Tribolium castaneum: one gene and its partner. The protein of the gene in region 2 interacts with the protein of the main gene of each other region in a pairwise test. Links are inferred from orthologs where the notes say so. Each region holds a gene or a part of one and is shown on either strand. Other genes may lie near its edges.

Evidence for each region. The genes of interacting proteins can lie anywhere in the genome.
Region 1: the proteins of stumps (region 2) and Hr39 interact in a two-hybrid assay, tested with the Drosophila melanogaster proteins (2 studies listed by BioGRID). The link is inferred for Tribolium castaneum from reciprocal best matches to the Drosophila melanogaster genes stumps and Hr39.

The regions. Positions count from the first base shown.
Region 1 is NC_087400.1:8,820,164-8,823,682, reverse strand, and holds part of Hr39 (nuclear hormone receptor FTZ-F1 beta), read right to left. Parts: intron 3,068-3,519; coding exon 2,627-3,067; intron 1-2,626.
Region 2 is NC_087400.1:4,990,515-4,994,665, forward strand, and holds the start of stumps (phosphoinositide 3-kinase adapter protein 1), read right to left. Parts: upstream 2,805-4,151; 5' UTR 2,694-2,804; intron 2,335-2,693; 5' UTR 2,211-2,334; coding exon 2,201-2,210; intron 1-2,200.

The DNA.
Region 1 (3,519 bases), about 3.8 Mb from region 2:
TAAGTTAAACTCAGAATAGTCGATTTAGATTGTATACAAAATCTTAGGTCCGGTTTATACAGCGTGCTCAAAAACTGGCGCACCAACTCAATGGTGTGTGGTAGAAAAGTGGTTACATATAAAGGTAAAAATAGTAAAAAAATTCTTTGTATTAAAGTTATTGATAAATAACTAATTTTATGTAAATGATATGTGGCAACGTTGTCTAACAGTCATGATCGCAATAGAATTTGAGCAACAATAAAAATAAATTATTTTTGAAACGGTTTCCTAGGAAATAATTCCCAGTGTTGGCACATCTACACATTGTGATTTTTTGGATGAATTTTAATTTTTTTAAATTAAAAAAACTGCTAAAATCTGTTAGTAAAATTTAAAATAATTATTCATCGTTTTGCTACGGAACGATTACCTGGTATGAAACATAGAAATATAAAAAAATTATGAAAACTAAAGAAGTTAACACAATAAGTTTGTAGCTCCAGATTTTTTAAAATATAACTTTAGGAATTTTTTCAACATTTTTCCCGTAATCTGCACTTGCTTCTCAATAACGTACCACTGAGTTGGTGCGCCAGTTTTTGAGCATCCTGTATAAAGCTTCAACAAATTTTAATTCGTTGTTAAAAGTTAACAACGCAAATACACCAATCAAATTGGCTTAATTTCGTCACCTGATCCGTTAATCACACATTTAATTGCGAATTAAATTCATGACGCTTCTATAAACCGGTCCTTAAAGTTCTAGCTATATTATAGAAGTTATTTTTTTAATGTAGGCCTTAAAAGAATCAGCCTGTATGTTTGCAGTAACGGACGGGACAGCAAAATTTACGAAGAGAAAAAATAAATACTATTACTAATCAATTTACTAACCGATTTACATTTTTTAAACTACCAGAAACTAGAAAAACACTGTTAAAATTTTTTTCAACAGTTTTAGTACGTCAGAATTTTGTGATAACCTAGGAGGCAATTTATGTAAATTTTAAAACCCCATGATATAACTTCAGTTTAAATGATTATCCTTTCCCATTTTAAATTCATAACAAAAAAAAACTATTTTGGCGCAAAATACACTAAACACCAAAAACCGAATCGTGTATTTTGAAAAAAACTTAACATACAACAAATTATTTTGAAAATTTTGGGATCAGGTTGCATTATTTCTAGAACTCAAAGTGATTCTGATGGTTACAAATTTTATTACAAATTTGTTGCACGAAAACATCATTTAAGCATCCTTGTTTTAGAATAAAAAAAATAAAAAAATGTTTTTTTTAGAAAAAGCTTTTATTTAAAAAAGAAATAATGTTTTTCTATCAGAGAATATTTTTGCTTACAAATTAGGATTTTAAAATTTACAAAAACTTTTGGAACAGTGCTCAATTTAAAAAAGTAATTCTGTAATGCTGTATATTGTTAGGACCAAAAGCTTTTATAAATTAAAAAAAAAACATTATTTTTTACTTTTTAGTACATCTTTTAAATAAAAGCTTTTTTCTAAAAAAACTTTTTTAATTCTTTTATTTATTGCTTTTTAGTTTTTACTTATTATTCTAAACATATTTTTCTCTGAGATTTAGTTTCGCCGTAATTGTAACACTATTATTTTGCTGATTTGTGCAAACTTGTTAGTAAGTGATAGAAAAGAGCTATTAGCACTGAAAGCACATCCTAACCTCTGTTATGTGTCTATATTCTATCGTACAAGATAAATGAGCTTAAAAAAATAGCGACATTTGTTTGTAACGAAACGTAATGAAAATGATTAGGTATTAATATATTTTCCAATGACCAATATACCGTTAATGTTGGTATAAGTTACAGTATGTACACATCGAAAACCCATTTGTAAACATAACCTAAAACTGCAAAACCCCATTTAACCCCTTTAGAGGGTATTTAACCACATAGGATTGCATTGTCACGCAGATTACGTAAGTATGTAAAATTTCAATTTATTGAGACAACGGAAACCCTTTCAAATTTGGCTTGGAAAATATGAAACAGACATACAGACAACAAAGCAAGAATCAATTAATATTTTCATATTTGTATTGAATTAATTTTAATTATAAGGAATGGTATAAAAGTTTAGTGAAAAATACGTTTAGCAAACTCACCATGTACATATACAAAAATTGATTTAAGAAAAATAAAAATTTGTAAAGGTTAATTAATCAAGCATAACGCTGATAAGTAGTTGCCTTGTCCTTTTAATAGGCATTTGAACCAAATGACTTTCTTTAATTCTAATTAATAGTAAATCGCATTCCGGACAAAACACAGTATTTAATTCGTGAACTTTTGTCTCAACTTCACTCCAATTCGAATAATTACACGATTGAATCATTCCATTCGCTAGTTAAAATCCGTACACGTAGGTACCCAATAATAAATAATTCAATCTTATCCGTAGGCACTAATTAGCCACTTTCAAGTGAATATCAAATCGATAAGATTTCTGCAATGTAAAATCGCACCTTAAAACATTACATTATCCCAGCCAACGTGGGCCGAACAATAAATTAGCGAACGACATTCCAGCGATTGACCGAGTTGTGTCCCCGACAATTAAATCACACATTGTACAAAATGATAAATAATTTTCAAAAACACTGACCTGAATAGGACTGTGAGTAGGTGAGAACTGTTGAGTGGGCGAGACCGAAACCGAAACACTCGAATAACTACAACAGCTCGAATGGGAGGCATCACTATTGTTCCGACTCAAATTCGGCGTTAAGGTGATATGTCTTTGCGTCAAAGGGCTCTGATTTGGCGAACTGAACACACTGTACGCTGAATGGATGGCAGAGTCGGGACTTGGCGTCGGAGGGACGTTTAACGCCTTGTGCATTATGTCCTTGTGGATGAGGTCTTTGGGACCACCGATGATCGGCACGGGATGCCGCTGGCTGAGCAAGGGAGAGTTGCTGGGTGTGCTGTGCAAGGAGTAGGTGCCCATTGGGGGTTGTTTCAGCCTCATGATGGGACTCTCTTTCGAGTCCAAGTTTACGATGGTGTTCAGTTTGGGCTGCGACAGCGACAAGTTCTCCGGCACCTGAAAATTAAAAAAAATATATGTACTTCTAATTTTTACAGTATCAAGAAATTGATCTTCATCCATAAAAGAAAATAAAATTTTATTTTAAAAATGCACGAAAAAATAAAAAATGTATTTCTACAGGGTGCTCAAAAACTGGCGCACCAACTCAATAGTACGTTATTGAGAAACATGTGTACATTATGGGAAAAATCTTGAAAAAATTTAAAAAAATCTGAAACCACAAACTTTTTTTGTTAACTTCCTCAATTTTGATTATTTTTTAATGCTCTTATGTTTTACACACAATTATTTTTAAATTTAATATCAAAGTTTAACAGTTTTTTGGATAAAAAAATTAAATTCAGCAAAAAAAAACACAATTTGTAGATGTTCCTAGAGTTCCTTTATTGGGAGAGTTGGGACACTGAACGTCAAACCGAGCCAATTTTGTATTATGTGAATAAGGT
Region 2 (4,151 bases):
ATAATCCACTAATAAATCTGAGACACTGATTTAAATAATTATATTAGCAAATCATCAATAAGATTTTTCTGATTTTTGCAGAAAACAAAGCTTTTCAAAAAGGCCTTCGACTGCAAAGAATAGGAAAACACCAACTGACATATTAATATTTTTTTTGTTTTCTCATATTTTTTTATTTTGTCTTATTTTTGGTGAATCTTCTTTCAGATTTTTCTGATTCCTGCAGAAAAGCTTATCAAAAGAGTTTTCAATTGTAAAAATAATAAATTTTCAAAAAACACTTGTTAGGGCTTACAAACATTTTTTGGTTCCCAAAATATTTTGTAAGTAAAGAAAGAAAAAAGAACTTGAACTGCAAGAATAATTAATATAGTAATGTGACACTTCTTGGGGCTTACGTAATTTTTTTAATATTTTCTTAAATATTTTATCATTAGGTCGTTTTTAGACGAAGTATTTTTAGCGAATTATACGACCAAGTTTTCTGATTTTTGCAAAAAGCAAAGCTAATCGAAAGTGCTTACGAACCTCAACCTCTTAGGAATTTACTAAATGTTTTGTTTTTCTAAAGAAATTTTGTCATTTGCTCGTTTTTAGAAATATTATTTTTTGTAAAAAACAATAGAAAGAGCTCTAGTTAGAAAAAAAAAATTAAACCGACAATTAGTTTTTTGGATTTCAATACTTTTTTTGGTAGATATTCTCAAAATATATGTTTTGTCACTGCTTCGTTTTTACATGAATCCGTACAATTTTTATGATTTTTGTTGAAAAGAGCCTTAATTGCAAAAAATAATAAACCCAGAATAACATCTTAAAATTTAATAACTGTTTTTGTTTTTTTTTAGACATTTTGTTATTTACTCTATTTCAGCTGAGTTATTTTTTATTTTCGAACTTTTTGGTTCTCAAAATATTTTATAAGTAAAGTAAAAAAAAAGAACTTGGACTGCAAGAATAATTAATATAGTAATGTGACACTTCTTGGGGCTTACGTAATTTTTTTGATTTTTTCTCAAATAGAAAACAATAGAAAGGGCTTTAGTGAGAAAAAAATATTAAACCGTCAATCACTTTTTTGGATTTCAATAATTTTTTTGGTAGATATTCTCAAAATATATATTTTTTCACAGCTTCATTTTTACATGAATCCGTACAATTTTTATGATTTTTGTTGAAAACAGCCTTAATTGCAAAAAATAATGAACCCAGAATAACTTCTTGAAACTTTAATAACTATTTTTGTTTTTTTTTAAACATTTTGTTATGTACTCTTTACTATTTTTTGTTTTCGAATTAAAATTTTCGTGATTTTTCCAGAAAAAACACTTATGTGTTAATTAAATTTCATAATACCTACAGAGTGTTAGGAAATAGCTTAGAAATACTTCGCATGAATTTGTCATAATTAGGTCATATTATTTTTCCAAAAAGTGCGTACCTTCTTCTGAAATTTGTATTAACCCAGCTGTTGAGAACCACTGTGTGGCTTATGGTAGTTTATTAGCAGTTCATTTGTGTAGGAGGTTCGAATCCCGGTCTTGGCAGAGAAAAAAAATGTTTTTTTTTGTAAGATTTAATAAGAATAATGTAATGGACCAAGAAGTTAATTTACCTCTGCTGTTTTGACGATAATATTAAAATTTTCCCTAATTTTTATAATTCTAGTTCAGAGGTTCTCAAAATTTGGGACTTTAATTCTTGAACAATTTTTTGGGAAAACTATGCATTTTTGATTTACATAAATTTTGCTCAATCGATTTGCTTGTTTCTCGTATCAAAGAGACATTCATTATTAATTTATTTCCAAATTTTCCAAAAACCATTAACTCAAACATAACTGATTATTCAAAAAAAAATAAACCATACCTAATTTTTGCCTTCTTGTATTCGTGATTGTTTGAACTTCACAGAAAAATTAAAAGAATGTAGTACGTGACATATATTGAAATTTAACGTTTATATGAAATACTTCCTAATCTACATACTCAACTAATTAAGTAATTAATCTTAAAAATGTTTCTGGTGACGATAAGAAAGTAAGTCTTTCGTAATTTTTGTGTGGCTTGTATTAAACGAGGGTTAGCCACAGTTTGGCTTGTGTCCGATTGCCACATCACTCCCAACAAAGCTTCTTAGTACCCATCAAAAGTCCCAATAAAATCCCGGAATAAAATTTAAATAGCTAATTCACACGCACCAAGATCCATTGTTCCAGCTAAATCCAATCGTCTAATATTCAGGTGCCTCAAGTTGGACCATCGAGGACGTGAGCGGAAACTTCATTTGTGGCTGCATCTACTTTAGGAACGCATTTATTTAAAGCTTGTAAATCTGAAACAAGAGTACAACCATTGACAATCCTGCTGAACCCAACAATGACTCAACTGTAATTCGCTCTTTTACTTGATAATAGAGATATCCAAATAAAAGCCTCCATTATCTAATTATACCTCGCGTCTAACTGCCTCTAACGACTGTCAACAAGCCGAAAACGACCCAGAATGACCAGTGCCAAAGCTAATTTTAGCCCGAAAAGACACTCCATTGAAGCGATTTCATGAATCAAATTCCAGAAATCGGAGCCGATTTTTTACCACGTGCTAGTTGCTATTTTCAGGCTTGTGACTAAGTCGTGCTATTTGTTTATTCGCTACAAATCGACGCGATTTATCAAAATATTTGACACCTACCACGAAAAGCTCAGCACTTGACACTCGCGCACTGCTCGGACTTAAGTCGACACGAGACTGAAGCTTGCTGAAGCAAGGCAACTTTTCAGGAGTAGGGGACCAAGTTGTGACAGCAGCTGAAACAGGGGCTTCAGGAGGGGGCACGAGCCCTTGCTGATGGCTTTATTTCGCGTGATTTATGGATTTGGACGCTGGGATCAAGGGGTTTGATCCAGGGGAGGCTGGAGGTGGAGATGGTATTTTTAGATCGGAGGTTATTGCTGTATTTATTTTGTTTTGATGTTCGGCTCGGATTTATTACGGTTAATATAGCTACTATTAGCAGTGAAAACATTGTAAAATTACACGAAGCAAAGATCGAAAATGGAAGAGAGTTTGATAATGTTTTTCACATTTTGGAAACTGTTCGAAGAGTAATTAAGGTTTTTCGCAAATATTTACTGTAAGTAAAGTAACTAACGTCCAATATTTATTATTTGTTAGAGTTTAGTATAGATTCTGACTTGCTGCTTTCACCAAATAAGGCTGTAAAATATTCAGATAGAAGTAATTTCTTAATATAAAAACAAAAATATTTTCAGTTTGAAGAGAATTTATCAAATACTAACATATTTTTTTCGGAATTGAAATTGCTAAATATTATTTTGTGTTTTTCGAACATTTTAGTTTATTTTTAGATTGTTTTTAAGCATTTAAGCACATTTTTAAGTTAAATAAATTTACTAATTTGAATTCATATAATAAAATAATTGCCACTTTTACGTTTCATTGAAACTTTTTATTCAAAAATCGTTGCATTTTGTCGGAAATTACCTTATTTTGGCGTTTTGATTCAAAAAATTGAGTTATTTTAATAAAATTTTATATTTTTTGAGCAGTTTTTGCAGTGTTCGAGTGTTTAAGCACATTTTTAATGCACTATGCTTTTATTTAAGTTTTGCTTTAAAATTAAGTTAACATTTTCGAAATATTTTATTACATTAAGTGAGGCAAAAGTAAGCAATTTTTGCGAAGTTTTTCCAAAATAAAACCAAAATTTACGATTTGCTTCAAAAAATTTAGAATTGTTCCAAATTTTGAAAACCGCTAAACTAGAATTACAAAAATTAGCGTAAATTTTAATATATTGACAAAACAGCAGAGGTGAATTAACTTCTTGATTCATTACGTTATTCTTCTATTTCAATTTGTGTTTTGTTATTAAATTTTACGAAAAAAAAAAGCAAAAACTTTTTTGGCAAGACCGGGATTCGAACCTCCCACTCAAATGATCATGTTAGCCACAATTTTGAAAAAGTTTACTGAAACTTTTTTTTTAAGAAATCGCCAAATTTTGTCGAAAATTACCCTATTTTAGCATTTTTTAAGCGTTTATTTCCGTTTTTTATTTAAAAATTGAGTTATTGTGTAAAATTTAACAAATGTTGAGCGACTTTGCAGTTTTTGAGCGTTTAAGCA